2 linked regions of the Sus scrofa genome follow. The protein of the gene in region 1 binds, or shares a complex with, the protein of each later gene. Links are inferred from orthologs where the notes say so. Each region holds a gene or a part of one and is shown in the gene's direction. Other genes may lie near its edges.

Region 1 (15,177 bases):
GTTCAATCCCTGGCTTCACTCAGTGGGTTAAGGATCCAGGTGTGGTGTAGGTTGCAAACGTGTCTTGGATGCCGTGCTGTGGCTGTGGTGTAGGCCAGCAGCTGCAGCTCTGATTGGACCCTTAGCCTGGCAACTTCCATACACCACAGGGGTGGCCCTAAAAATATATGTATATATTTATATACAAATATGCTTATATATGGATATGCTATTTAATGAGGCACGCCCAAGTCAACGGTAAGAGCGAGTGGTTGCCTTCATAAAGGGAGTCTGGGTAGCTAGGGAGTCGGATGAGAGGGAGACCTACCTTTCATTGGATGTCCTTCGCTTTTTTTGAATTCCATATCGTGTACATCTGCTTTCTAAATCGTGTAACAATTTATAAAAAAGGAGTCCTACATAGATGAGTCCAATGTCACTTACTTTAAAAATCAAATCAAAATATCAAAGCAAACACATGGCTAAACTCAAAGGATTTGTATTCTTTCCCCAGACTTCTTCTCAAATATTTGATTAGCACCTGAACCTGGAAGGCATTATGATGTAGAGGCATTTAATTTCCATGAATGACTATGGAAACAGCCAATGAATAAGAATCTAAGATATTTAAATTCCAGAGCCAAAAATGTACTCCTAGAGCCAAATGCACTATAAAACACATAATACTATTTTACAGATGAGATAACTAAGGCTCAGCTGATGAAATAATTTGCCCAAGGTCACAGAGTAAATTCACTACCTAAGGTAAACTACGATAATATTTCTACATAGAAATTGAAGCTAGTGAGCGGTTCCAACACTTTCTAGAACCTATTGTTGGAAGGATTTATACTTCAGTCATACTAAGGCACAACTTTTAAACATAAACATCTTTTATGGAAGAGAGTTTGTCATTCTCAAAAGGCTATTTGTTTTGTCATCAGTGTACTTCAAGCAATTTATAATTTATAACAACTTTTTATGTCCCCAAGTATCCATTTGAAATGTACTAAAAGTAATTTCACTAAAAATGACTCTTTTGTAAAGTCAGGTTTCTGAGAGTGGTAAAACATTTCTGACATTTTTAATGGACATTTTAAAATGGTAGTTGAGTAATTCATTAGTTTTATATTGTTGTCTAACAAATTACCACAAACTTAGAGACATAAAACGACACTTTTTTTTTTCTGTACACAGAGATTTTATTCAATTTTAAAAGAAAATGAGGACTTAAGACAAAGCTTTGATCCTATAACAAAGCAAATCTGTCCAGCTTTAAACCAAATTCCAAGAATAGCCAGCTTCTATTTTTCAGCAGCTAAAGAGCACCCTTAATGAGTTCTGTTTTCTTCACCCCAGACACTCAATTTTTATCTTACATTTGTGGAGCTAATAGCATGGTTAGGTCCTTGGAGCAAAGTGAGATCAAGGTGTCAGCCATGTATCATTCTTATCTGGAGTTCAGGATTCTCTTCCAAACTCTTGTAGTTTTAACAGGAGTCAGTTTCCTGTGGTCATAGGACTGAGGTCCCTGCTCCCTGGTTGATTGTCAATGGTCATTCTCGGCATTTAAAATTTCACCTGCATTCCTGGTCATTCAGTCCCTTCTGTCAGCAAAAGCCACACTGGAGAATCTTCCCTGAGTTGAGTCAAATCCCTCTCATGCCTACAATCTCTGTCTCCAGGAAGAGCCCAGTCCTGACCCAGTCTAATTAGGTCAGACCCACCCAGAAGATCTTATCGTAAAGTCAACTGACCTGGGACTTTAATTACATTTGCAAAATGCCTTTATAGCAGCACCTTGACTAGTGTTTGAATGACTGGTAGAAGCTGCCTATATATCAAGTGGTGAGAAGCTTGTGAGCTGTCTTTCAATTCTGACTCCACAAGTAATGAGTAGGCTGAATGTAGTATAAATATTACCACCACCACCAAGCCAGGCTGTTCCACCCCTAACTGGACTACTTTCCCTGGCAAGAATCAAAGTGGAAGATCCATTACCATTTTGTTTGTTATTTATGTAGGGTCACATTTAAATGACAATAACATTTTGTTGTCATGGCACTTTGAGCCTTAAAGATGCAATTGTGAGAATTTACTATCCATATGTCAAATTTATATTTGGGAAAACTGAGGCTCAGAGGGGTAAAATTATTTGCCTAAAGTCCCATAGCATCTCTGCCTCCATTTTACAGGTCCAAAGTTTTTAATATATTACAGAGTTTGATTTCTACAATATTTAAGAACGATCATCTCTTAGTTTTATTTTTCAGAATTTCTAGGAAGAAATTTTTTTCAAATGCCTAGACAGCAATCACAGAAAATCCTGAAAGGCATTCAGGATTTGGCATGCAGCATAAGAAAGAACTACATTTACACCAAAAGGACCATGTAGTGAAAAGAATTTATACATGGTTTTCTGTCAGGACATATTAGGGAAAAAAAATAACCTATGATACATTAAGTAAATTCAATAAACTGAAACTGAGGCAACACTTCATTTGCTATTTTCATGTTCTGCATAGTGGTTAACATAGGTGTGGGTGTATTTCAGGACTTCAAGCTTTTATCTTGCCTAAGGTGTGACCACACTTTATGGTCACCAGAATGTGATGTAGGTGACAATGTTGAAGCCACATCTAGTATGATGTAGAATTAACTGAAAATGCTCCAAACTTCTGTTAATCACAAAGTCACTATAATGTTTATAGGACCAACCATACTCCATCATAAATCTTTCTTTTCAGTTTTAAACTCAGCTAAAGGACACAGCTGAATGTTGTCAATAAGAACAAACTAATAATTTCAAAATGTGAGTCACAGAGAAAGCAGAATTCCATAGACCTATTGAAGGGAGAAAGAGGAAATGGACTCAAGCTGACTCCCGTTCCCCATTTTACAAATGGGAAAAGTGAATGCTGGAGAAGTCAAGGGATTTGCCTGAGAGCAGACAGCTTGGAAAGTGACAGAACCAAGACATAAATATAGACCTTTTGGTTACAGTCCAGTACTCTTAGTTCACCAGTTGCATCCCTTGATAGAAAATGTACTGCATGCTGGAGTTCCCTTGGTGGCTCAGTGGTTGACAAATCTGACTAGGAACCATGAGGTTGCGGGTTCGATACCTGGCCTTGCTCGGTGGGTTAAGGATCTGGCGTTGCTGTGAACTGTGGTGTAGGTTGAAGACGTGGCTTGGATCCTGGCATTGCTACAGCTCCAATTAGACCCCCTAGCCTGGGAACCTCCATATGCCGCAGGAGCGGCCCTAGAAAAGACAAAAAAAAAAAAAAAAAAAAAAAAAAAAAAAAAGTACTGCATGCAAATTTCCACAAATACTGTCATCTTTTTAACCAAGAGAAGTGATTGGATGTAAGGTACTGAAACGAGACGGCTTGAATTCCCCGTACCTCTACCTCATTCATTTCTAAAACTTGGACCACATATCTATTTTCATTTCTCCACAACTTTCTTCTGCACCCCTCTACTGCCAACCCTGGGACCTCCCATAAATCATCTGTGCATGACTGTTTTCTTCACCCTGGATGGCTGTAACATGCACCAAGGTCAGTGCTGTTCCAAGGGTGGGGCAATGGGAGTGGCCTCCTCAATCAACAATAAATCAGCAATAGCTTGAACTTAGACCAATAATATACTTTGGGGGGGAGGAGTATTTTATCACTGACATTGTTGAGAACTCCTGGCACATAGTGATAATAAAAAAGATAATAAAAAAGACTGACTTTTGGTCAGTTTGATTATTGTCCTGGAATTTTTTTCTTTATAGACACTGTCTTCCCAATGTGCCCTGTGACACTAATCTGAATTAAAGGACAGGAGCTCCCTATGAGCTACTCACATCTAAAAGGCTTCAGGTTCTTTAGAAAGCGTTCCTTATTCGAGGGGTGAGGGTAGAGAGGGAAAGCACCATCATAACATTTGAAGGTACACGTATTTTTTAAATAAACATTTGAAACTGTATATGGAATGTATAATATATCCCAAAATACCCTAAGGAAAACAATTTTGGTCAAGAGATTGGTTGTTGAGAAGCCAGAGTCTTAGATACTTATCAGGGTTTGTATAGGATTTTAAATTTAGCATGTTCCCATTAACAAAGAACTTTTAGTTTTGCTTGTCACTGGGCTCATAGAGAAATGGGCATTTTAATGCATTTCAGGTAGAGGCAGTATGTACAGGAATTAAGACAGCCTGGGTCAAATCTGGGCACTGTGGCCATGGGCAAATTAATTTGGCTGGGTATAAGTTTCTCCATCTTTAAAATGAGAGTGAATAATAATACTTCCTTATAGAGTCATGGTGGGGTTAAAACCAGCTAGTCACATCAAGGATTTAACCCTGTGCTGGCACATATTAAATACTCAATGAATGTTTATCACCACTCTCGTCATTATCCAGTGGCTAAAAGATTTTCAAACTTGTAATTTAAAAAACTTTTATTCTGACACAAAATTCTGGATATTTTTTTTCTTTCTCTCCAACATGGAGCATGAAAACACTTGTACAGATATTTAAGGACCTAGCCTTACTTCACTGTGATTTTTTTTTTTTTTTTTTTTGGCAAATTTCTCCAAGGGCACTAGATGGCGACCTTCTCCTTTAAGGAAAAAAAAAAAAAATCTAAGGCTTCATTAACACTTTGTGTTTTGATAGTTGAAACTTAGGACTACATATTTAAAAGCAAAGAACAAACGATAAAACTACATTTTTTAACACTAGATTGTCAGAATCATAGAATTTCTAGATTTTCAGGCTTCAAGCTGGGAGCTGCATGGCCTGGGTAATCCTGGATTCAAACTTCTGCCCTTGGGTGATCTTGACCTCACCTTTCAAAATCTCATTTTTCTCCTTTATAATATGAAGTGGTTGGATCATCTTTAAAGTTGCTTATAGATTTTAAAGGCTATGATTTTTTAATAATTCAATGTTTATTCGTCTACCAGGCTGTCTTTTCTTAAGCATTCCTTGTGCTGTAAATTAAATATTTCATAAGCCGATGGACGTGATTTAAAATCACTAGGTATCAATATTACTTAAGTTAAAATTGGTTTATTTAAAAAATATTAATTTTTAAAGATAGGTATGAATTTAGAGTTTCGAGGTATGTGTGAAAACTTAGTCAAAAAGTTTCTTTTTTTAATAAGCATGAGAAACATATTTGAATATCTGCATTTAATGTTAGTATAAACTTGAAAAAAAACCTGTCCATTTAGGAGTCATTTTAAAACTATTTCTATATCTTCCACAAATAAAATTGAACCTATGCCTAGATTTTTGAAGGTGAGAAAAGTTTTTTTCTAATGTATTCTTAAATGTCAATTATTTTGAGCCTTTCTAAAAGGACTATAAACAGATTAAGTTTTCCATAGATAGAAGTAATAGAATACTAAATGTAAAGACAGAAACCCTTTTCTCAAATATGAGTAGACGGTAGCCAGTCTTGAGCAACTGATGAGCTTAAGAAGTTCAATATGGCTTAAAATGCTTTTAATTTAAAACAATTAGATGAGTAGAACTAACAGTATAAATCTTCAGAATAAAATATATTTTAGGGTTTATTTATAAACCAAAGTAGATGACTGCTTTTCCTTTACTTCAGTGTTTCAATGAAGCAAAAACATTTTTATTAATAAGTAGCCAGTGGATAAGCAATGAGATCCTGCTGTGTAGCACTGGGAACTATATCTAGTCACTTATGATAGAGCATGACAATGTGAGGAAAAAAACCCTCGACCCACTGAGGGTTTGGGATGGAAATGCTGTAAAATTTGGTTGTGATGATTGCTGTACACCTATAAATGTAATAAAATCCATTAACTAATATAAAAAAAGAACGTATACATGTATGTGTGACTGGGTCACCTTGCCATACAGTAGAAAATTGACAGAACACTGCAAATCAGCTATAATGGAAAAATAAAAATCATTATAAAATGTTTTAAAAAGTACAGTGGTTGTACATTGATCTTTCTTCTTAAAAATTATTATTTCTACAAAATCACTTTGATATCTTACTTTGCACCTATGTTTTTCCTTTGAAAAAAGATGCATTAATTTGTGGATCATTACCTGAAGAAATGCTCCTCCTATATACCCAAACTCTTAAACAGTGGTTTATATTATGAAAATGCTCCTTGTGACATATATTAAAAAATTAAGTGCAGGAATCACAAATACTCTCGGTTCCAGTGTGGATAAAAATCCCTTTAGCAGAGGCTGTGGTGATGGATGAATAGGTGAGGGACAAATGAGAATGGCAGACCCTATTTCTCCCTAAAACTGGAATTGTAGGATGAGCTAGTAGTTTAACACTGGTGGCCCTCACTTCACAACCAAACAGAATGGTACTGCGATATAATTTGTATGCTCAATATACAAATTTTAACTATAGCCAAAGAAATAAAATCCAAAGTCTAAGAAGTTTACAATCAATTCATGGCCTTCTTCTCGGTAAACGTTTGACTCATTATGCATATTCACCCAACTTCCCCACCAACAATTTTAGTTTACTATTTCCACTACCATTTTATGCTGAAAAAAACCTAGACCTGCTAGTGCCCTGTCATTCTCATTACTTAGGGTCACAACCACGGGGCTTCACATTAAGAAACACATACTCACACATACCCTCCCTCACCATCCAGAGCAGATAAGAAAAGGTGAAGACGATGAATTCATGCAGGTTATTGTCTAAAGGCAGTTTAAGACTTATGAAATCTCTCTCTCTCTCTCTCACTCACACACACACACACACACACACACACACACACACCCCACAAAGTCTTTAGGCTCCAGTTACAAGCGCTGCGTCATCTGCCAGATCACATGGTAATTGTTGCTATTTCAAGGATCAAGTGGCATAAAGCTCCCCCCCTACCCCACCCCACCCCTTTCCTTTGGTACCATATAGCGTGGAAGAGTGATTATTGTGTGATGGGGTGAGACCAGGCTCACTGGTCCAACCCTCCCAGCTAGAAACCAGGCTCTCGGTGGGGTGGCCTGCGCCGTGTTCTCACGAAGTGATTGGGAAAGGGGGACGGGGGAGGGGGGGTCTCAGGGGAGGAAGGGCAGCTCTAATTGGTTTCTCAATGAAAGATAATCACCTATTCCCCGGAGAGGCTGGGGATTAGCACTCTGCCTCTCCTCTCCATCGCTTTTAGACTTCTCATCCTCCCCTCGGTGCTTTCAGTCCATTCAGCAGAAGTGGATCGAAGAAATCGGCTTCTCGCTGCGCATTAGGGGCAGCACTCCGCTGCGCTCGAGTACTTAGCGCCCATTCACTCACTCACTCCGCGCTCGCCTCTCCCGGCTGCCGTCCCAGCCGCCGCCGCCGCCCGAGAAAAAGTTTTGCAGAGGGGCTCAGGGAAAAAATGAGTGAGCTGGAGGAAGACTTTGCCAAGATTCTCATGCTCAAGGAGGAGAGGATCAAAGAGCTGGAGAAGCGGCTGTCAGAGAAGGAGGAAGAAATCCAGGAGCTGAAGAGGAAGCTCCATAAATGTCAGTCGGTGCTGCCCGTGCCCTCGACCCACATCGGCCCCCGGACCACCCGGGCACAGGGCATCTCGGCCGAGCCGCAGACGTACAGGTCCTTCCACGACCTCCGACAGGCATTCCGGAAGTTCACCAAATCCGAAAGGTAGGCGCCGAGGCGGGCAGGAGCGTGGCCACTGCTCTGAGCCGGCGGGCCCGGTGGCCGTCCAGGCGGCGGCTCAGGGGCTGGGGGTTCCTGGCGGCGGCGGCGGCGGCGGGGGGGGCGGCTCCGGGCACGGCGCCCCTTGCTGTCCGCAGCGCGCCGAGTGGGGGTGGCCCTCGCGGGCGGGGAATGGGAAGTGTTTATTTTTATTTCTGCCCATCACGTGCCGTGCTTGTCTCCGCCGGGCTGGGAAAGGCAAGCTCCTCGGAGAGACGCGCCCCTGCGGAGTGGGGGTGGGGAGAAGGAGCGTGGAAAGTTTTCTCGCGCCGGCTAACTTGGTCACTCTGCACGCCGTCGCGCGGTCTTTTCTTCACGCACCCCTGTGGGGCGCCCACTCAGGCACACAACCCGGCCCATCTCCGGGCCTGGAGACCTTCCTGGAGGTGACCCCCCCACCAAGACCCAGGCCACAGGGCATGCTCAGTGCGCCGCGGGAGCCTCCTGGGAGTGGCGACAGGAGGTTGAGCAGGGTTAGGTTCAATTTAGGGACAGAACTTGTCCAGAGCAGGAGCCCTGCTGGGAAGGCGCGGAGGGGGTGGGCAAAGGGAGGCGGGGCTGGGGTGCGTCTCCACTGTAGGGATCAGCCTCTGAGGGTCATTTTCCAGGCAGCAAGTGATGTCAGCAGGAAATTGTAAAGAACGCCCCCCCGCCCTTTCTGGATGTTCCTTTGCTCAGTTTGTGTCCCTTCCAGAAGTGCCACATCTTGGGCTGCCCTGGGCTTGGAGGTGGCTAGATGACCTTGCACCTGAAGCAGGTTGGGGGTTACTGGTCAGCCCAAGGTGGATAATAATGCCCCCGCCTGATTTGTCTTCCTCCTGAGACTCTCCTTGGAAAAGTTGGGATAAAGAGGGCGGGGAGCTATTTCTCTGGGCGCTTCCAGGCTCCTTCCTTTCCTCCTCCGGCACGTCGAGAGCCAAATCCTGCCAGTTCAAAGTTGTGTGTCGCTCTTTCGGGGTGTGTAGAGGGGGCCGGGCGATTTTGGCCACAAGTAGGAAGCTTTTGCTCTGCACTCGCTGCCTTCACCGGAGAAGACTGATCGATTAGCTGCAGCATTAAAGCGCCTCTGGACATTAGGGAGAGGAAGTGCAGACTCCAAAGCCCATTACTGGCTTTTAGTCTCTGGAAGTGCGTGGCCGAGAGTGCATTTCGCAGGATATTGAATATTCCATTAGGCTTGCCTTCATGCCCGCCTGCCTCTTACCCCTTCCCTCTTGGTGTCTGAGTTTGGGGCCCTCAGGGGACCCCTAAATTAGTCGCTCCCCCTAAGCTCTCTGACTTTGAAGCCAGTGCTTATAAAGACCATGTCTTCTTGTCCTGACCATCTAGGCCAGTTGGAGGGTTCTCAGTGTTCCCCACTCCTCCAGCGCACCCAGTCCCTGTCTTGCGTACTGATTACAGTGTTTGTGTGCTCGGTAGGGGAGGAGGGAGCAAAGGAGACTGGGTAGGGGTAAGGAGCTAGAGGCTGGGAGTGGGTTGGGGGCAGAGAACCAGGAATCAGGCAGATAGGATTCACCTTGGGAACTGGTGGCTCTCACTGAACCATCTCAAAGAACAACACTCAGATTTCCTGAGCTTTACTCCACTTATAAAATGACACTGTCCACATGGTACCTTTTGGCCTCGGGCTGCCTCGAAAGTCCCTGTCAGATGGAACAAAGGCATTCTTCCTTCTCTCAGGCCAAGAAGGCAATCAGAGCTAATAGTTGGCTTTGCCACTGGTTGGGAAGCTGCTGCCTCTTGCCTCAGCTGAGCTGAGCATTCCTCGGCCGCTGCCCTGCCCCGCGCTCAGCAGCTGGAATCAATCTGCCCACCTCCTTAAGAAGCCACTTCATCAGCGGTCACCCGGCAGCTGTTCGCCTCCCAGGGCTGACCGGCTGGGGCTTTATCGCATTTTTGAAATTTCAGATCTGTGTCTGGACTCTGCCCCACCAGCAGCACTCAACAGCAAAGGAGGGATTTCACTGGGATCTGGAGAGGACAGAAGAGGACGCTCCCCATCCCAGAGTCCATTCTCATTCAGGAGCTAGCTTTCAAAGGGACACTTCTATTTTCCTTGATAGGAAGTCTCCCGAGGAATGAGAGGCAGTTTTTGTGTGGATTGAGATGAAATGGCTGATCTTTCCTACGTGCACACCATCTTCCTTTTTCTATCCTTCTCCCCAACTCCTAGCATTTTCGGGTTAGGGGTAGGAACGGTCATCAAAAGAGTGGATCATGCGCAGTAGAGGTCGGGAGCCTATTTTGTGTCTGCAGCAAGTAGCTTGAAGTGCTTTTCTACTTTCTCTCCGAGCTGATTTACCCTGGCACTGAGGGTAAACTTTTTCCCACTCAGCACTTAGTTTTACACTTTCGAATAGAAGCGTGGAGTGTATTTTCACCAAGCTGACTCAATTTTGACAGCAATAATATATGAGGATAGTAACCACTGGAATTAAGGACTCATCCCAGCATTTAAAGAGACAGTACTAACTTAATTATTTGGTGAGACACTTTATTTTGGCCAAGAAAAGAAATAATTTGAAAAGCATTTCTGGGATACAACATTTAACAGCAAACAAGATGCTTTCAAAATTAAAGTATATTTGCTAATTTTCCGGTATTCAGTTTTGGGGAGTAGATATTTCATCACCTCCTGTATCCTTTGTTAAAGGTTGTGCTGTCCTTATGCGCTTACTGGGGTTGAAAGAGACCAATTTATGACAAAGCGACTGTTCAGTTGCAGTTACCATAGGGTGTAGTGAAAGCTATTCATGCTACAGGTTTGTTTCAAACTTTGCTAGGACACCCAGTTTTTAATACTAACAAGAAACATATCTTGAAAGTATAGGAATTTTCTTTGGTGGGCAGAATGATAAAAGAGCTTTTGCCTGCAACCACTGTTTCAGAAAATGATTGCAATCTAAAATATTTACATAATCTGTGATAAAAATATCTTAAGCATTTACAGTAGTGGAAGGAAATGGGAGAATTCACCGACTGTTGTAATCAAGTCAGTCCAATTAGCCAGATTTCCATGCGTTCACAGAGGGTATAATGCACAATCTCCATTAAGAATGATCTAAGTATCTAAGGAATGCTTAGATGAAAATTGTACTAGGGAAAGGGAAGATCTGAGCTCTCAGAATGAGTATCAAGTGTACAGTATGATGATCGTGTTTAAAAAGAAAACATCCGACTTATTGCAGTACCCATTTGCAGACCTCTTAGAAGTGCCCAGTAGAGATCAAGTGATTATCATCGAAAACTAGGCTGTTTTGGATGACGACGATGATGATATTTTACATTTATATATATCACTTTCTGCCAAATAACCTTGAGTATTTCACATAGTTTTCTGTGAACTTTTGATTTCCTGCATGCATATACACCATATCAAGAATTGCCTAGGAGTTCTCGCTGTGGTGCAGGGGAAACGAATCCAACTAGTAACCATGAGATTTCGGGTTCGATCCCTGGTCTCACTCAGTGGGTTAAGGATCCGACATTGCCATGAGCTGTTGCAGATGTGGCTTGGATCTGGCGTGGCTGTGGCTGTGGCTGTGGCTGGGTTGTGGCCGGCAGCTATAGCTCCGATTCGACCTCTAGCCTGGGAACCTCCATAAGCTGTGGGTGCAGCCCTAAAAAGAAAAAGAAAAAAAAAAAAAACGTAAAAGAAGAATTGCCTAATATCCTTAATTCTTCCCCTAATTTTTTTTTTAACATACACCTCCATTCTTCATTTTGACCACCTAGTTAGCTCGGAGGACTGCATACTGTTGTTGTTCCTCAATTAGCCGAAGCAAAAGGCTGGAATCGTTATTTATCTGTTACAGGAATAATATATTGTATTCCAAAGTCATTTGAGCTATTCCTGTCACAAATCCCTTGATTCTTGGTGATGTCAGTTCATCATTTGGAACTTGTACATCCTTCCACTGGGACCTGGATGCTTTGGAATGGATGCCCCAGAAAACTCTTTGCCTTTTGCATCTCTGATTCATTTCAGCTGGTTTAACCTTCAGACTAAATCAAGAGATTTGGCCTAATTTTGATTTAAGCAACCTCAGTGAAATGAGCGAGTACACGCTGGATTCTGGGCCCAGCTTAATAATTGCTCACAGAGAAAATACACAACGCTTTAAAATAGTGATGATAAGAATAATAAAGATAGCTAATCTTGGCTATTTGAACACAGCGCTAAGCTCTTTATTTCAGTAGCTCATTGTTTTCTCCCAGCAGTCCTAAATCACATACTTACTCTTCATGTGAGGAATCTGAGGCTTGAAGAAGTTAAGTCACTTGCCTAAGATCGCAGAGTTAGGAAATGCCAGACATGTTTCAAACTCAGATTCTGCAGTTTTTAGAGCCCCTGTTCTCAATTGCTACCCTCTGTAGCCTTGGAATCAAGCCAGTTCCATCTTACTAACTGGTGAATCCTTCGACATAGGAAGAAATGAACCTGCCCTACATTAGAATAGGATTAAAAATAATCTGAGAGCCAGCACGAAACTGACCTCATAAAAAAGTGACCATGGGCTCTTGCATCCAGCACCTGTGCCTTGGGTGTCCTATACCAGGCCAGAATTTCCTCAGTGGGTCCTGGATTGTCATTTCCAGATCTTTCCCTCTTCTTCCTTCCTCACACAGTTTCACTAGCACAGTGTCATGTCACAGTGGTACCAATGAATGGTGCAGTTATAAAGGATGTGAAAATGATCTTGGTCGCTGCCTCTGGATATCCTTCACTCAACCTTTTCCCTTCCAGATCCCTCCTGCTAATCCCTTCGCTCCTACCCATCCTTCCATCCAAAGGAATTTATCACTAATTGACAGCATACCAGTATGTTAACCAGTTATCCTTTCTGGATTAACACAGGAATGTTCTATCAGGAGCCTCTGGGAGAGGACATTCATTTCACTTACTCAGATGCATAATATTTACAGTGAGAGTTTTTTAAAAGGGAGAAAAGCTGAGGAGGAGAGGGGAGGATCCTTAGGCAGAATGGCTTGTCAAGACCCCGTGTCTTGACCCTAATTTGAGGAGGGCAGGTTCTGAGCATAAGTACCTCATGTCTACTTTCAGCCAAAGCAATACAGGAGGCAGACAGTACCCTGGTTTCAGTGCTGTGAAAGCTGAGCAAGTCATTCCTGAAATGCCTTTTAAGGGATCTCAGAAATGGGACCAAAAAGACAATGTAGGTTTCTTTGTTTTGCATCAATACTGGAGCTGGTGAATTGATATCTCCCAGTTATGCTCTGTTTGTATTTATTATTTAAGACAAATCCACTCTCCTCTGGGGTTGGTTTGGGTTCTGGAATCATGCATATTTTCCAGATATATTTGTAATACATCAGGAATTCTTATTCTCTCGGACTCATTGATATGTGTATAGGTTGAATGTTTTCGTTTAATCATGTGTTCGTTAGAGACTGGACTGACCCTCATGAAAATATTTCTAACAGACCTGAAAAAACAAAAGCTGTTCTATCTTTTTCCTCTTTCCTGACTAAGTGCCTGTTCCCCAGTGCCCTCTCACCGCACTGTGTAGGAGATGCTGAGAGTACATTAAAAAAGCCTTTCTTTTGATAAGGTTTTCAGGTGATTTCATAGTTGCTCAGAGTAGGAATAATTATTTTCATTTGCCATTGAGAATTTGCTTATCAGAGTTCAGGACCCTTTGTTATCTGGGGTTCTTGTAGCTCTTGGAAGTTACTGTGAGCTCTGAGATAAACCAGGGATTGCATATCCTGTTTCACAAAAGTGAAAGCTCAGAAGTTTGGAGATTGTCAAAAACGAGTACTGACTTTGAGCCCAGCTTTGCTTATGTCCTGTGCTGCTAGATCCCTGAAGAGAAAAGGAGCTATGTATGTGTGTGCGTTAATGTGTATGTGTATAGGCATGTGTATGAGTAATGTGTATGTGTATATGCACATGTACAAACACCTACACACACACACACATACACATTGCCACCTTATTCATTTTACGATCTTGTTATGGTAGTTATTATTCTGAAACTCCTGTAGGTGGACCTGATCAGTTTCTTGGGGAAAGGAGGATTTATTTCTTGGACTGTTTTTGTAAAATAGACCATAGCACCTTGCAGCCTGTCAAATGCTTGTGCTCAGAACTGAAGACAGTTCCATATTGTCTCTCAGAACAGGGTTCTAGAATCAATCTCTGTTGCTTCTTGTTGAAATACTTCCTACTTTTACCAAGTGATGATTTTTACCTCCTTTTCCTTGTTCTTGGATCCACCTGTGTTGTGTATCTCTCTTTTGGGTCCCTGGTTCCTCTCCTCTAGTTTGACATCTGGAACTCCTGCCAGATCTATTATTTGCAGAAATAATTCAACTGCAAACACAGAGCAGGGATATTGCTCAGACTATCACTCTAACCTTGCAAAATCTTTCATGTCTTCAGATGTTTCAGATATTATATAACTTGAATTTCCTAAAGTTTTACAAAGAATTATTAATCGATCATATTTAAAATATACAATACTGTAAAATATTTTCTCAATGTAAACAATAGATAGTTCCCCAAAATCTTTGAAGTAGATTGGTTTTTATTATGTAAAAGCTGATAGAACTTAACTCTTTTCTTGTTGTTCTAAACCACAGATTCCATTTTTAAACTCTTAACCTTATTCTGAACGACTCTCTAAACATTATTGGTGGATTGCAGACTTCAGTGTACATTATGTTGCTTTTAGAAACCATGCTGCATTAGAAAATAGAGTGGTTTTAAATTCCATCAATCAAAAGTTTATATCAACTAGAAAGTTTTAAAATACTTTCTGTAATTTTTCCTGTCCAATATGTTGGCTGCATGTTTTTTTGTTTGTTTTGTTTCGTTTTGTTTTTTGGTTTTTGTTGTTGTTTTCTTTCCGTGCATTGATTTGACATACTCTTGGAAATTAGTCCTGAAGAGTTAATATGTTGATACTAGGCGTGGTTTTGTTATGTGGTGTGGAAAGGTGTAACATGTATGTGCTGATTTCATCTGAGTGTTTATTAAGGCAAATCCAGTAAGAAATTGGCTATAATTATCTTGTTAGGACTTAGGTTAATTTTTTTTGCTTGTGATAAAGATTATGTAATTCAGTTCTTCTTTTAAGACGTTTTTTAAGACTGCAGTTTTAAGTTATGCTCTCAGACTTGTTACTAATTCAAACTATCCCTCCTTTCTAGACCAATTTAGAGGGGGCTTTGAAATCTGTTTTAAATGCTCAGATGTGTCTATTTGAGCACTCTGGCCTTAAATGCTGCCAAAATACTGACAGACCTTGCAGGGAATCCTAAAAATCCTTTTAAATATGCCTCTTACAAATACTTGTGTAGGTCTGTTTGTTCAACTCTGTGATACTGTTACTGTCCCCTGAGCAAACCCAAAGGCTTTGGGTAAATGTTAATATTTTTCTTGATGCCTCTCATTGCCCCCATGGTGGGGGTAATGCTCATTTCATGTATTTCATGACCACCAAGGAACTCTACCACATGTGCTA
Region 2 (14,892 bases), on another chromosome or scaffold:
ATGAGGATGCAGGTTCGATCCCTGGCCCCGCTCAGTGGGTTGAGGATCCGGCATTGCCATGAGCTGTGGAGTAGGTTGCAGATGTGCCTCGGATCCTGAGCTGCCGTGGCTGTGGTGTAGACCAGCAGCTGTAGCTCCGATTTGACCCTTCGCCTGGGAATTTCCATATGCAGCAGGTGTGGCCCTAAAAAGACAAAAACAAAAGTGATCCAGAAAACAGTGTAGCAGAAGGGAGGTAGGTGGTTTGCAGTTTGAAATTGTCTGATTCAGAGATGGCTTCACTGAATAGATGACCTTTGAGTAAAGACCTGAAGGAGGAGTTCCCATCATGGCCCAGTGGAAATGAATCTGACTAGGAACCATGAGGTTGTGGGTTCTATCCCTGGCCTCGCTCAATGGGTTAAGTATCAGGCGTTGCCATGAGCTGTGGTGTTGGTCCCAGACATGGCTCAGATCTGATGTTATGGTGGTGTAGGCCAGCAGTTGTAGTTCTGAATGGACTCCTAGCCTGGGAACCTCCAAACGCCACGAGTATGGCCCTAAAAACCAAAAACAAAAAGCGAACAAACCTGAAGGAGGTGAGTGAACCATATGGGGATCTGGGGAACACTTTGGACACAAGGAACAACTGCGAAGGCCCTGTGTGGTTCGACTGGAGTGAATGTTAGGAGATCAGATTGAAGTGGGGGAGGCGGGACTCCTGGGCTCCCTTAGAAAGCGGAGGTTTTAGGCTGTTAATAACTCAAATACATTAGCACTAAAATGTGGGGCTGGCAGAGGCTCCAGGCAAGGAAGGTTATCTGCCCCGCCCTAAAGCCACTTCTACAGTTCTTTGGTTTCCATGACTCAGGGCGCTGGCATGGGGACAGAAAGACACCCTTAGAACGCCTCAACGACTCTGCACAGCCGAAGCACATCGGTCTCATCAAGATTCCTGTGATTGGCAGATCTGAACGGGTCGGCAGCCAATCAACTGACGGTCCAGGAAGGCTTGAGCACCCCACCCCCGCACGCTGACAGCCACTTGGGTATCTGCTGGGAGTGCTACTGCCCTCTGTTGGGCTTGCCCAGCTATGAGCCGGCACAGTTAGCTCTGCTCTGCTGGGTGGTGGATGAAGGCGCCGGTGGGAGGTGGTGGAGCCGCCACCTTGGCCACGGTCTTTCAGAGCTCCCAGTGTTCTTCCTCCTAGTGAGGCATTTGCGGTTCTCATTTTCTTATTTGCCCTTCCAGAAGGAGTCGATCCAAACACAGGCATTTACATATACATAGGTATTTAACAACAGTACAATAGTATATGTGAAGCTCTGGTGTAGATCCTGCAACATGCAGCCCTCAAAACAACTGGAGGAAAATAGCCTTACAGTAGAAATCCTGGCAGACATCGCCTTAACCAAGGGATCAAAGTTAACGTCACCAGCAATGAGTCATAGTGACATCATAAGCCCTTGGTATGGGAAGGAGACATCACCTTTCTGGTATCCTTTCCAGTAATGCAAAATCTCCAGTCTAATCTAGACAAACCAAACTGAGAGGCTACAAAGCTACTGACCAGCACTTTTCAACAGTGTCAAGGTCAACCACCACCACTAACAAAACCACCACCACCCCTTACCACCTTACCCCCCCACTCTTAAAAAAAAAGTCAAGGTCATGAAAAATCTTTAGCCTTTATCACAGGCTAGAGTCCAAGAAGACATGAAAACTAAATGCAGTGTGGGATCTTGGATTGGATCTGGAACAGAAAAAGGACATGAGTAGAAAAACTGGAGAAATCCAAACCAAGTCTGTAGTTTATTAATGGTATTGTGTCAAGGTTAATTTCTTAGTTTTGATAAATGTACTATGTATATGTAAGATGTTAACAGTAGGGGCAGCTGAGTGAAGGGTATATAGGAACTCTGTGCTATTTGTGCAACTTTTCTGTAAGCCTAAAATTTTCTCCAAATAAAAAGTTAAAAACAAGCCTACTGAAGCAGACACTATTAACATGTCCATTTTCCAGAGGAGGAAACTGAGGCACAGAGAAGTTAAGACACCTGTCTGAAGTCACATGGCCAGGAAACACCAGGAAATGTCCCAAACCCCTGGACTATGGATTCAAAGCCCCCACTCTTAACCATAGCACCACAATGCGTTTATTTAGTGGAAACACAGTGCTGCATATTCTGCCATCATCTTTGTCTTTTTCACACGTTCCCTGTTGATAGATCTATAGGGTGACTTGTTATTAAAAGGTCATTGCAATAATGTCATTCTTCACACCCAAACTTGTACTTCTTAGGAATGTCCTAAAAAGGAGATGTGCTGATTCAGAAGGTATATTAGAAAGGTAGGGTTCTCTGGAAAAACAGAGCCAATAGAAATCATATATATATACACATATATATATATCAGACACAGATCTATTATAAGGAATGGACTTACATAATTATGGAGGCTGAGAAGTCCAAGTCCAAGATCTTCAGTTGGCAAACTGGAAACCCAAGAGAGTAGATGATGTAGTTCTAGTCCAAGAACGAAGCTCTGAGAACCAGGAGAGCCAATGATATAAGTGCCAGTCCAAGAGCTGGCCAGTCTTGAGAGCCGAGAAAAGCTGATGTTTCAGTTCCAGTCTGGAGACAGGATGAGATCCATGTCCCAGCTCAAGGCAGTCAGGCATGAGGAGTTCCTTCTTACTGGACTCTGGTGGGGGGGGGGGTGTCGAGGGGGGTATCAGCCTTTTTGTTCTATTCAAGCCTCCAACTGATTGAATGAGGCCCATTCATGTTGGGGATGGTAATCTGTCTTAATCTGCAAATTCAAATATTAATCTCACTCAAAAACACCCTCAGAGGAGTCCCCTGGTGGCCTAGTGGTTAAAGATTCAGTGTTGTCACTACTGTGGCTTGAGTTCCATCCCTTGCCCAAGAACTTCTATATGCCACAGGCAAGGCCAAAAAAACAAGCACCCCCCCCGCAGGCCCCCCCATCCCCCAAAACCCACTCTCACAGACAACACAGAATAACGTTTGACCAAGAATCTGGGCATCCCCTGACCCAATCAGCTTGATACCTAAAATTAACCACCACAAAAGATGAGGACATTTATCTGAAAGCTATTGACAAGCTGCCCATACCCATGAACCATGTTCCCTAAGCCACCCCAGCACTGTGTGTTGTCAGGTGTACTGGTTTTTGCCAATCTAGTCCACTTTTTAAAAAAGCTCTCTTGTTCCACCAGACATTTTTCCTACAAAACATCTTGCAAAGCTCAAGGCTGGACAAGGGCGTGGGCAGCTGTAAAACAGCCCGGAATAACCCCAGCCACAGCCTGTGACCCAACCCTTCTCTCTCCTCCTCCTGGTCTTCTGGGGAGGGTTGGAATGAAAATGCAAAGGGAACCCTCACCTCAGCTGTCCTCAATCTAGGAGGTGCTGGGAATTTATGCCCTTCTTTGTGCATGGTTAAGCACCAACATTTCAAACAGATGTGGTTCAAGTCCTGGCTCACCAATTTTAATTCCATTTACTCAGCATTTTTTGAGCATCTGTTGTGTGCAGGTACTCTTCTGGGCACTGAGGATAGAGCTGTGAACAGAACAAGCAAAGCTCTGCCTCTGTGGAATTTCTGTGCTTGCAAGATGAAAGGACTATGACAAGAAAAAGCAATGAATGAAGAGAGAATGGGGGGGAGGTTTTTATAAAATCGCTTATGAAAATGAGTTTTTGGAGTTCCTGCTGTGGTGCAGTAGGTTATGGTTCTGGTATTGTCTCTGTGTCTCTGCAGTGGTTCAGGTTGTTGCTGAGGCTTGGTTTCGATCCCTTGCCCAGGAGCTCCCATATGCTGTGGGTGCAGGCAAAAAAAAAAAAAAAAAAAAAAAAGGAAGGAGAGAGATTTTGTGAAGGCCAACTACCAGGTGCAAACATTTAGGTGAACAGCTCCCCACTGCCCATCCTCTCACAGTCATTGGGGTGGGGGTGGTGTGGGTATGCTAGTATTTTTTATTGCTGTTATTATTTTGTCATTTTAGGGCCACACTTGCTGCATATGGAAACTCCTAGGCTAGGGGTCAAACCAGAGATGCAGCTGCTGGCCTATGCCATAGCCACAGCAATGTTGGATCTGAGCTGCCTCTGGGACCTACACCACAGCTCATGACAATACCAGATCCTTAACCCACTGAGTGAGGCCAGGGATCAATCCCGTGTTCTCATGGATATTATAAAGCTTTGTTACCACTGAGCCACGAGGGGAACTCCTATGCTAGTATTTTAGAGCAAATGGACAGGAAGGCCGCTCTGAAGAGGGGGCGTCTGAGGAGAGGAAATGAGGGCATGCAGAAGTCTTGTGGAAATGTGTCCTGGTGGAAGGAACTGCAAAGGTGAGAGCATACTTGGGCACTAAGAGATCATGTGGAGGGATCTGGGAGCAGCAGGATCAGCGTGACCCTGGAAGAGTCGCTTGCCATCTCTGAACCATGAGTTTCCTTTTTTTTTTTTGTCTTTTCTAGGGCCTCACCCGCAGTATATGCAGCTTCCCAGGCTAGGGGTCCAGTCAGAGCTGCAGCTGCTGTGCTACGCCAGAGCCACAGCAATGCGGGATCCGAGCAGCGTCTGCGACCTACACCACAGCTCATGGCGACGATGGATCCTTAACCCACTGAGCAAGGCCAGGGATCGAACCCGCAACCTCATGGTTTCTAGTCGGATTCGTTTCCACTGCACCACCGCTGGAACTCCTATGAGTTTTTTTTATCTATAAAAAGGGTTTAAGAATTTATTCACCCCAGAGAGGGTGGTGATGAGGATTAAGTGAGATTGTGCCTGGCACAGAGCCTAGCATGGAGTGAGCTGTCCAGAAACAGAAGCCATTTTGAGAGGGGACAGCTGGTGGGGGATGGCCAACCCTGCTGCCAAGATAGGCAAGTGCAGGGGGAGGGGGTGAGACTCTCCTGGAAAAGGGCAGTGTGTGTGTGTGTGTGTGTGTGTGTGTGTGAGACAGAGAGAGACAGAGATAGTTCTGAGAGAGTCTGGAGGTTTCTAGGGGATCTCCTAAGATTAAGGAAAGGCAGGGCTTTTCTTTCATGACTGTCCTGGACTCTTCTGGAAACTCCAGGAAGCCCACCATTTTAGATGGGAAACTGAGGCACAGAGGGGCTGTGACCAGAGAAACGCCAGAGAGGAGTCCAGTAGCAGACTGCACATCAGTCAGCCAGTAATGGGGGAGTCCTCAGGGGTTGAGGCCTCGATATTGGCTCAAGTCTCTCTCTCTGCCTCTCCCCGCATCCAGCACAGAGACAATACAGAGACATAGGGGAAATCGGTGACCCAGAGACGTGGAAGAGAAACAGAGACATAGCAATGGAGATAAGAGAGGGGAGACATGGGGGCAGAGATAAGGGCAGAGACAGTGACACTGGCAGATTCGTAGAGACAAAGAGACAAAGGCTGAGGCAGAAAAAGGCTAAGCGTCGCAGAGCGACAAAACGACCAAAAGACTGAGCAAAAGATACAGAGACTCTGACCCAGAATAGGAGGGACAAACGCACCCAAAAAGGGCTGCCCCCTAGGGAGACCCTGGGCTGCCCCGTCTGGGGTCAGGCCAAGTGCTCCCCTACCCCGCCCACGTCGTGCTTGGGCCCTGACCTCAGAGCCCGCGCGGATTCTATAAATGGCCAAGCGGCAGCGGGCTGGGGGGCGGGGCCAAGTGAGTCAGAGCGTTGCGTCATCACGGCCAAGATGCTTCCAAGCCCCGCCCCGCCCCTGCTAGGCCGCCAGGGGGCGCTGACCCCGAGTTCGGGCGAGGCGCTGGACCTCGCATGCGCATTAGCGACCTGTGGCCGTCAGAGGGTCGCTCAGCGTGGGCAGGATCCCGGAATATACTTGTATGAATCCTGGCTCCGCCGCCGTCGAGCTGTGTGACACCTTGCAGTCACCTTCACCCTCTGTGTATCATATAGACATCACATCATCCAGCTGCTGTGAGGAATGAGTTAACGGATCCGAAGCACTAAGTACTTAGCAGGAGCTAATTGTTAGCTCATTTTATATGTGTTAGTGTATCTTCAACATATCATTACACGCCATCGACTTGTTCTAGTTGCCTTAGCCCACTAGTTCTCAAATGGGAGCGATCTGCCGCCATCCCCACTCCCACCTTTCCTAGGGACATTTGACAATATCTGGAAAAATTTCTGTTTGTCAAGACTAAGGGGAGGGGGAGTTCCCGTCGTGGCTCAGCGGTTAACGAATCCGACTAGGACCATGAGGTTGTGGGTTTGATCCCTGGCCTTGCTCAGTGGGTTAAGGATCCGGCGTTGCCGTGAGCTGTGGTGTAGGTTGCAGATGCGGCTCGGATCCCGCGTTGCTGTGGCTCTGGCACAGGCCGGCTCCGATTCGAGCCCTCAACTGGGAACCTCCATTTGCCGTGGGAGTGGCCCAAGAAATGGCAAAAAGACAAAAAGACAAAAAAAAAAAAAAAAAAAAGTAAAGACTACGGGGAGAGGAGTGCTTTCCTGGCACTGAGTAGGTAGAAGCTGGGGATGCTGCTTAAAGTGCTGCAATGCCCAGGATGGCCCCCCGCCACAATGAATAATCCAGCCAGGATGTCAACAGTACCAAGACTGAGAAATCCTGCCTTAGCCCCATAGTGTTACTGGCAGAGGCTGGGGATTCATATTCTGCTGTGCCACTGGTGAACTGTGTGGCACTGGGAAAGGAATTCCACGCCCTCAGTGTCCCCATCTATAAAATGCATATAATAGCAGCATCCACTTATGAGGGTGTCATGAGGTATGAATTGATGATACATATACAACACTGGGACGAGGACCTGACTTACAGACGGTTGTCATATAAGCACATCACAGCTGACCCCTTAGCATGTGGCCAGCAAATTGCATGTCCTTAACATATTATTAGTGAATGGCAGGTTGCTGACCCCAAGTGTTCTAATGTGGTCTTGACATATGTAGCATGATGTAGGCATGTCATCCACCCTGTGGTCCAGGGGTGAGATCTGGCCTGGCAGGGCTGCTTGTAGGTGTTCCCTCCAGGCCAGTCTATCTGGGACAGGGATATAGGGATGCCTGGCACCCACAAACATTCTCACTCCGTGGTTCAGGAAACCCACAGGTGGATGGACAGGGTAAGATCCAGGATCTCTGCTCCCCCAAGTCCTTATGAGGGAGTGGAAGGGGTTGAAGTGGGGTGCCAGGCTCTCAGCAGAAATACTGCTGTTTCCTGAATCTTTCTGTGTGCCAGGCAATGTATTGGGCATGTTGGAGGCGTTATTTCTTCTGATCCTCACAACACTCTCATGAGCAGGCATTGTCATTAGTCCATTTCACAGATGTGGCAACAGAGGCTCTGAGAAGGGAGGGAACTTGCCTACAGTTATAGACGGTTGGTGTCTGGACTTAGAATGGTGCTAGATAAACTACCACAGGTGGCAGGCAGTCCTGTCTCAAGACTGGAGAGAAATGAAGAGAAGTGGCCTCAGAGGCATGGGGAGATGGCCTCAGAGACAGACACAAAGAGACTAGGAGACCCAGCCAGAAGCCCAGTGAACAGTGGGGAGTGGGGAAAGGTTGGTCTCTGTCTGGCCAAGCCCCCCCTCAAAAGAATAACCCAGGCTGCCCCCCTAGGTGGAAACAATGACACAATCAGCTCCCAATACCAAGGCCCTGACATCACGAAGAGGGGGGTGGCCGAGGTGGGGGCGCCCCGCCCCCTGGCAGGCCCCTATGGCCAATGGGACGGTCCTGGAAGAGTCCCGGGCCGCCTCCAGAGCTTCAAAAACGTGTGAGGAGGGAAGAGGGTGCAGACGGAGCTTCAGCTGCTGCCGCCGGCTTCAGCGCACACTGCCACCGCTGCCCACCATCCGCCAGCATGTCCTCTGCTCACTTCAACCGAGGCCCCGCCTACGGGCTGTCGGCTGAGGTCAAGAACAAGGTAGGGCTGGAGGGCCTCCCCCCAGGCCTGGCCCACTTGCCCTGCCAGGCCAGAGGTCCCATTCTTGGGGTTCCCTGGACCCCTTTCCTGCTGATCCCATGTGACTTGGAACTAAGAGAGAGAAGGGATGAGTATGGGGAAGGTGCTGCCTTCCTCCCTGGCCTGAGCATCCCAGAGCCATCAGCTACTGTTGGGGTGCGAAATGGGGGCCCTGCAGGCAGTCACAGGTAAACTGAGGCACTTGGTCCACTGTGAAAACCCCACTTGATTGGGGTCCTCTACTAACCGTTTTTTTTTTTTTTTTTTTGATCCTGGGGGGCTGGGGAAGGACCTGATTTTGCCCCCACTCCCAGCCTGACACAGAATTTGGGGAGTGCTCCAGAGCTGGGGTTCCTGGGAGGTGAGGCCCCAAAGTGTGGGAGATTGTAAAAGAGAGAGAAACATCTGGGGAGGGCAGAGAGTGGGCATTAGGGACATAGCAGGGGTCTCCTAATTTTGGAGTTGGCAAGAAAGGGGGAGGGGACAACACCTTCATGCTATAGATGGATAAATTGAGGTTCAGAGAGGACAGGCAAGTAGCTTGGGTCCTACATAAGGGAGGTGCCAAACTGGGCCCTTGAACTTGCCCCCTCTACACACACCAGAATGGGGTCAGCTTCTCCATGGCAGCCAGCTTGACGTCCCCAAACCACTGGAACTCTCCCATGAGTGCTGCCCTGTCTGCTCTCCCATGAGTCTCAGCCCCATTTGACAGAGGGGACCACTGAGACTCAGGGTTCTTTTCCCAGGGTTCCACAGGCGGCAGGTAGGGAGCTGGGATTGGCAACCTGGGTCGGGGGGATCCTCGATTCTGGAGGAGGGGGCGGGGCGGGGGGAGCGGGTGCTCAAGCCAGGGACAGATCCCAGCGCCGCCCCCCCTCCCCCCAGCGCCGGCCCCAGAGCCGTGCGGAGCCGCCGAGCCATATAAGGCGGGCTCCGGAGCCCGGCCCGCGGGGCCGTGCTATATAAGGGCCGGTTTGTTTTATAAAGCCGGGCTGGTGGGGAGGGGGGCGGCAGGGCCGGGGCCAGGTGAGGGGGCCGCTCCCTCCCATCTCCCCCTCCTCTTGGAAAGGCTCTCCAGGGACCGGGAGCCTGTTGGAGTTGGGGTAGAGGGTGCTGGAGAAACGGAGGGGGGCAAAGTGGGAGAGGAGGCTGCGGCGGGGAGAGACGCAGCCGGGGATTCTGGAAGCCTGGGACTTGAGAGAGACGGATGGGGGAGGGCGAGCCTGGAGCGAGATAAGACTGAGACAGGGATGGAGGGAGAGGCGGAGAGACAGACGAGCCCCACCCTTTCCAGAAGCAAAGAACCTGGAGTCAGAGATGGAGAGAGACCTAGGAAGGCAGAGATGGACCAGTCAGGAGCCCCACCCCCAGCCAGACAAGCAGAGATGGGGTAGCACGACAGGGCCCAGGAAAGACAGAGCTGGGAGAGAGATAGAGGACATCCGGTGATGGGGAGAGAGACAGAGAAATACAGACAAGCATGGGGCCAGGAGTCGGACAGACAAGCCCTTGCCCCCAGACAGAGAGGGAGCCTTAGGGATGAAGACTTGGACAGACACAGAGATGGAAGATAGAGCTGTTCCCTGCAAGGCTGCATTTTTTTTTGGGGGGGCACCTCCTTAGGGCTTCTCCTCCCCTGCCCGAGGCTTCCAGGAGGGGGGCAGGGCTGGGGGAAGCTAAGCCCCAAGTTTGGTCTGGAGGGGGAACCAGGAGTCCAGGCGCCACCCCCCAGCTCTGAGTATCTTGCTCTCCACCCCTTTGTCCACATTCTCTGGTGCCAAACCTCAGAATGCCTGGAATGGCCCCCTGGGCAGGTGCCACCTCAACCCTGGCCCTCAGCACCCTCCCCAACCCCCACCCCGCCCCTGTCCCCCCTCATTGGATGCTGGGGCAGAATTGCCTTAGTTGGGAAGGGAGGAGGGAAGAGATCAGGCCTCCGGAGGCTTGGACTGGGTCTGGGAGCCAACCCCGCTCCCCATGGCGTCCTCACCACCCTCTCTGTGTCCCCTGCCCGCAGCTGGCCCAGAAGTATGACCACCAGCAGGAGCAGGAGCTTCGAGAGTGGATCGAGGGGGTGACAGGGCGCCGCATCGGCAACAACTTCATGGACGGCCTCAAAGATGGCATCATTCTTTGCGAGTAAGTGGCCCAGACTCTGCCTTGAGCAGCCCCCCTAACCCCTCACCTCTGCTCGCTGAACCCCTCAAACGACCATAAGCTCAGAACTAGATTGGGCACTTTATATCTGATACCTCCAAACAGAACTCTAAGGTGGCAGATAGTCATTGTGCCCATTTAAAAGTAAAGAACACAGGCTCAGTTAGGTAAAACACATCACCCAATGTCCCATGCTGTTCCAACAGAAATTACTTTAGAATCTAGAGACTGGACTGCCAGGCATACAGGGCAGCCACATTTATGGCCTCCAGAGCCCCAAGAAAGGGAGGTGCCTTTCCCCCTGCCACTCCCCAGCTAAAAGGCACCAGGCCACAATGACTGTCACACTGGTTTGGGGATCTGAGGGATGTGCCATAGTAATTTAAATGGGCCCTGATTTTGCACTCCTCTCAGAACCTAATCACCAAGGAGATGCAAACTCTTACAGCTCCCAAACCCCGATTCTAGATTCCACCTTCCAGATTCATAACCCTAATTCTGGGCTGAGCCCTGAGCCAAGCCGGGGTCCTGTCTGCATCTCTGAGTCTGACCCAGGGCAGGTTGACCATGAGGGTCAGAGCATGTGCTTGGGAAGCTTCCTGAAGGTGCAGCCTTCCAAGCTCTGGCTGTTGGAAACAGTGGGAAGGGGGTATTTGTTCCACTGTATCCACTAGGAATGAGGAGTCTGGGAGTGGCCTGGTGTCCCAGGCCTTAAAGAGTGCAGAGCCACCCACCCATGTATGGAGTAGGTGCATTTATGGAGCTCCTGCTGTATGCCTGCCAGCCAGGTCCAGGCACTGGGAATAGTGAATAAAACAGACTTGACTTGGAGCTCTTATAGAGCGTTCATCCTAGTGGGGGTGATCGATCAAAGAACTGATGAAATAATCACATACTTGCCTGTGACAGGAAATGCCTTGGAGAAGAGACCAGCCCAAAAGGACAGGGGTTGGGGGTGGGTGGGATGAAGGGTTGCTGCTTTGTACAGAATGGTCTGGAGGTCTTTCTGAAGAGGTAACAGTGGAGCAGAATCTTGGATGAAGTGAGGGAAGCTGCCAGGATGCCATTTTAGGGGAGAGTGGGCCAGGCCAGTGGACAGCCAGTGCAAAGGCCCTGAGGTGGGAGCGTGCCTCCTGGATTCAAGGACCACTGAGGAGGCTGGTGTGATCAGGGAAAGTGGAGGGAGTTAGCTGGGGGTCAGATGGTACAGGACCCCTTAGCCAGGTGAAGGAATTGGGCTTTTATTCTCAAAATGGTGGGAAACCATGGGAGTGCTTTGAACTGGGGAGTAGGGAGTTCTCTTGTGGTGTAGTGGGTTAAGGATCCAGTGTTGTCACCACATTGGCTCTGGTCACTGCCATGGTGCAGGTTGGATCACTGGCCTGAGAACTTCCACATGCAGTGGGTGCAGCAAAAACAAAAAAATAAAGCAAACCAAAACAAAATGGAGAGTAACTGGAGTTGTGTTAAGAAGGCCATTTTATTTTTTTTTTTGCTTTTCTTCTTTTAGGGCAGCACCTGCGGCATATGGAGGTTCCCAGGCTAGGAGTCCAATTGGAGCTACAGCTGCCAGCCTTTGCCACAGCCACAGCCATGCAGGATCCGAGCCGATTCCGTGAACTACACCATAGCTTATGGCAATGCCAGATCCTTAACCCCCTGAGCTGGGCCAGGGATCAAACCTGAAACTTCATGGCTTCTAGTCAGATTCCTTTCCTCTGCGCTGTGATGGGAACTCCAAGAAGGCCATTTTAGGAGTTCCCGTTGTGGCTCAGTGGGTTAAGAACCCAACTAGTATTCATGAGGACTCAGTTTGATTCCTGGCCCCACTAAGTGGGTTAAGGATCCAGCATTGCCACTAGCTGTGGTGTAGGTAGAAGATGTGGCTGGGATCCAGTGTTGCCCTGACTGTGGTATAGGCTGGCAGCTGCAGCTCCCATTTGACCTCTAGCCTGGGAACTTCCATAAGCCACAGGGACGGCCCTAAAAAAAAGAGTGAAATGAAAAAAAAAAAAAGGTCATTTTATTGGTGGTATGACAAGCATCTGGAGCGGATGAAGTGGAAGCTGGGAGCCCATGGGGAGGGCATGGCAAAAGCCCAAGAGATGCTGGTGGCTCAGAGCAGGGCTTCTGGAAGTCTTCAGGAGGCAGAGCCAAAGGAGTTGCTGAGGGGTTGGATGTGGGGGTGAGAGAAAGAGAAAGGAGAGTCAAGAGCGGTGGAGGGCTTTGTCTGAGGCCTGGAAGGGCGAGTTTATTGGGCTGGGGAGTTCTGTGGGGCGAGGTGGGTGTTAGTCTGGGGGGGTGCTTTTGTTTGGGATGCCCATGTGGGAAGCTGGAATGGAGAGTGAGAGGCGGCTGCAAGACTCAGATCAAGGGAGTGCGTGTGGCCAGAGAAGAGGCCTCAGTTCTGAGCTGCGGGCTCTCCGTGGGTAGAGGCCCAGAAGAGAAAAGGAGACTAAAAGGGTCCTCTGAGAGGTGGGAGCACATCTGGAGATTCTGATATGACCTTGATAGGGAGGCTTTTTGATGGGGACTGATCCGAGGTTGGACGTGCCTGTGTGTGTGAAGGTGGTGTGGCGGGGCTGCAGTTGAGGGCCGAGTGCAGTCAGAAACAGAGAAAAAGGATGGTGCCCACTGTCATCCTACCCCCTTGTCCCACTGGAGTTGGGTTTGTTTGGGTGGGGGCGGCAGGGGGCACCTTCCTCACTCCCTTCCTCGACTCCCTGTAGGTTCATCAATAAGCTCCAGCCAGGCTCCGTGAAGAAGGTCAATGAGTCCACCCAGAACTGGCACCAGGTGAGCCCCGACTCTCTTAACTCTTTCTTTTTCTTTTTTTTTTTTTGGTCTTTTCATCTTTTCTAGGGCTGCGCTCGCGGCATATCGAGGTTCCCAGGCTAGGGGCCTAATCGGAGCTGTAGCCACCGGCCTACACCAGAGCCACAGCAACTCGGGATCCGAGCCACATCTGCAACCTACACCACGGCTCACGGCAACGCCGGATCCTTAACCCACTGAGCAAGGCCAGGGATTGAACCCGCAACCTCATGGTTCCTAGTCGGATTCATTAACCACTGCGCCACAACGGGAACTCCTCTCTTAACTCTTTCAACCCTTGGCCCATAGCCCCTCAATCCTCCACCCAGTCCCCACCCCCGCAGCCCTCCCAATCCCTGACTGCTGCCCCCCTCCCCTCCAGCTGGAGAACATTGGCAACTTCATCAAGGCCATCACCAAGTATGGGGTGAAGCCCCACGACATCTTTGAAGCCAACGACCTGTTCGAGAACACCAACCACACACAAGTGCAGTCCACGCTCCTGGCCCTGGCCAGCATGGTGAGTGTGGGTGGAGGGTGGGCATGGGTGGAGAGAGGTTGTGGGTGCTCTGCACTGGGATGCGGGTGTGCCCACTTGTGTCCCTGAGCCAGTGCAGGTGCTGCTGACTGCTAAGGGTTTCTGAGGGGACAATGCAGCCCAAAGATTCCCTGCCTCCCTTCACCCTCCTCAGGCCAAGACGAAAGGGAACAAGGTGAACGTGGGAGTGAAATATGCGGAGAAGCAGGAACGGAAATTTGAGCCGGAGAAGCTAAGAGAAGGGCGGAACATCATTGGGCTGCAGGTAATGCCCCTTCCTCACCTGGGTCTCAATGCTGAGCAGGTGGGGGTGCGGGTGGGGGGAGCTGAGGAGGCTTGGAGGGTACCCTGGTCTCCGCAGGCTCTGGGGGGACAGGATGTTTGGCTTTTACTAAACTATATGCTTGGCATTTTCTGCATCCTAACTCACTCCTCCAGCGGCTTAGGGCATGGGTACTGTTATCATCGTACCCTTTATATAGATGGGGAAACTGAAGCCTGGAGAAGATAGCTCACTTGCCAGGATTGCCCAGGTGATGACTGGCAGGGCTGGATCTTGAACCCCAGAAGTCAGGCCACTTAGCAGTCATGCGACACACCTTCTCTGGGCCTCAGTTTACAGTCTGTAGCCCAGGGTAGAAACAGTGCCTCATTAGAGGGCCATGTAAGTGTCTGCTGACATCAGTTATATCTTCCGGCCCATGGGGAGATTCTGTAACCCTTCTTCTGGCTCCCTAGATGGGCACCAACAAGTTTGCCAGTCAGCAGGGCATGACAGCCTATGGCACCCGGCGCCACCTCTACGACCCCAAGCTGGGCACGGACCAGCCCCTGGACCAGGCTACCATCAGCCTGCAGATGGGCACCAACAAGGGAGCCAGCCAGGTGTGTGTGGGGGCCATGTGGTGGGCTGGTGGGCCGTGCCCCTCACTGTCACCATGGCCTGACTGCACTGCTCTCCATAGGCTGGCATGACCGCTCCCGGGACCAAGCGGCAGATCTTCGAGCCGGGGCTGGGCATGGAGCACTGTGACACGCTCAACGTCAGCCTACAGATGGGCAGCAACAAGGGGGCCTCGCAGCGGGGCATGACGGTGTATGGACTGCCCCGCCAAGTCTACGATCCCAAGTACTGCCTGACGCCTGAGTACCCGGAGCTGGGCGAACCTGCCCACAACCACCACCCGCACAACTACTACAACTCTGCCTAGGGTGCTGGGCCTCCCACCTTCCCCCAGGGAGGCTGGCTGCTGCTCTTGGTGGGCCTGGCCTGGCCTGCTGACCCCCTCCCCCTGCATGGCTCCTCCAGCCCCCTGGCACCTGCCTACAGGGTTAGTGTTTGTGGGGAGCAGACTGGGGAACCTGTGGGGGGGAAGGGGGCACCTCCCTGGAGCACTACGAGGTCCAAC

The links.
Region 2: PRKG1 (region 1) and CNN1 share a complex: the UniProt entries of both Homo sapiens proteins name them as parts of the cGMP kinase signaling complex. The link is inferred for Sus scrofa from reciprocal best matches to the Homo sapiens genes PRKG1 and CNN1.

The regions. Positions count from the first base shown.
Region 1 is NC_010456.5:98,785,064-98,800,240, reverse strand, and holds the start of PRKG1 (cGMP-dependent protein kinase 1), read left to right. Parts: upstream 1-7,160; 5' UTR 7,161-7,367; coding exon 7,368-7,633; intron 7,634-15,177. UniProt on the Homo sapiens protein: Serine/threonine protein kinase that acts as a key mediator of the nitric oxide (NO)/cGMP signaling pathway. GMP binding activates PRKG1, which phosphorylates serines and threonines on many cellular proteins.
Region 2 is NC_010444.4:70,175,562-70,190,453, forward strand, and holds the start of CNN1 (calponin-1), read left to right. Parts: upstream 1-7,808; 5' UTR 7,809-7,869; coding exon 7,870-7,932; intron 7,933-8,920; exon of another isoform or gene 8,921-9,077; intron 9,078-9,991; coding exon 9,992-10,113; intron 10,114-12,860; coding exon 12,861-12,927; intron 12,928-13,327; coding exon 13,328-13,465; intron 13,466-13,637; coding exon 13,638-13,748; intron 13,749-14,221; coding exon 14,222-14,368; intron 14,369-14,448; coding exon 14,449-14,694; 3' UTR 14,695-14,892. UniProt on the Homo sapiens protein: Thin filament-associated protein that is implicated in the regulation and modulation of smooth muscle contraction. It is capable of binding to actin, calmodulin and tropomyosin. The interaction of calponin with actin inhibits the actomyosin Mg-ATPase activity.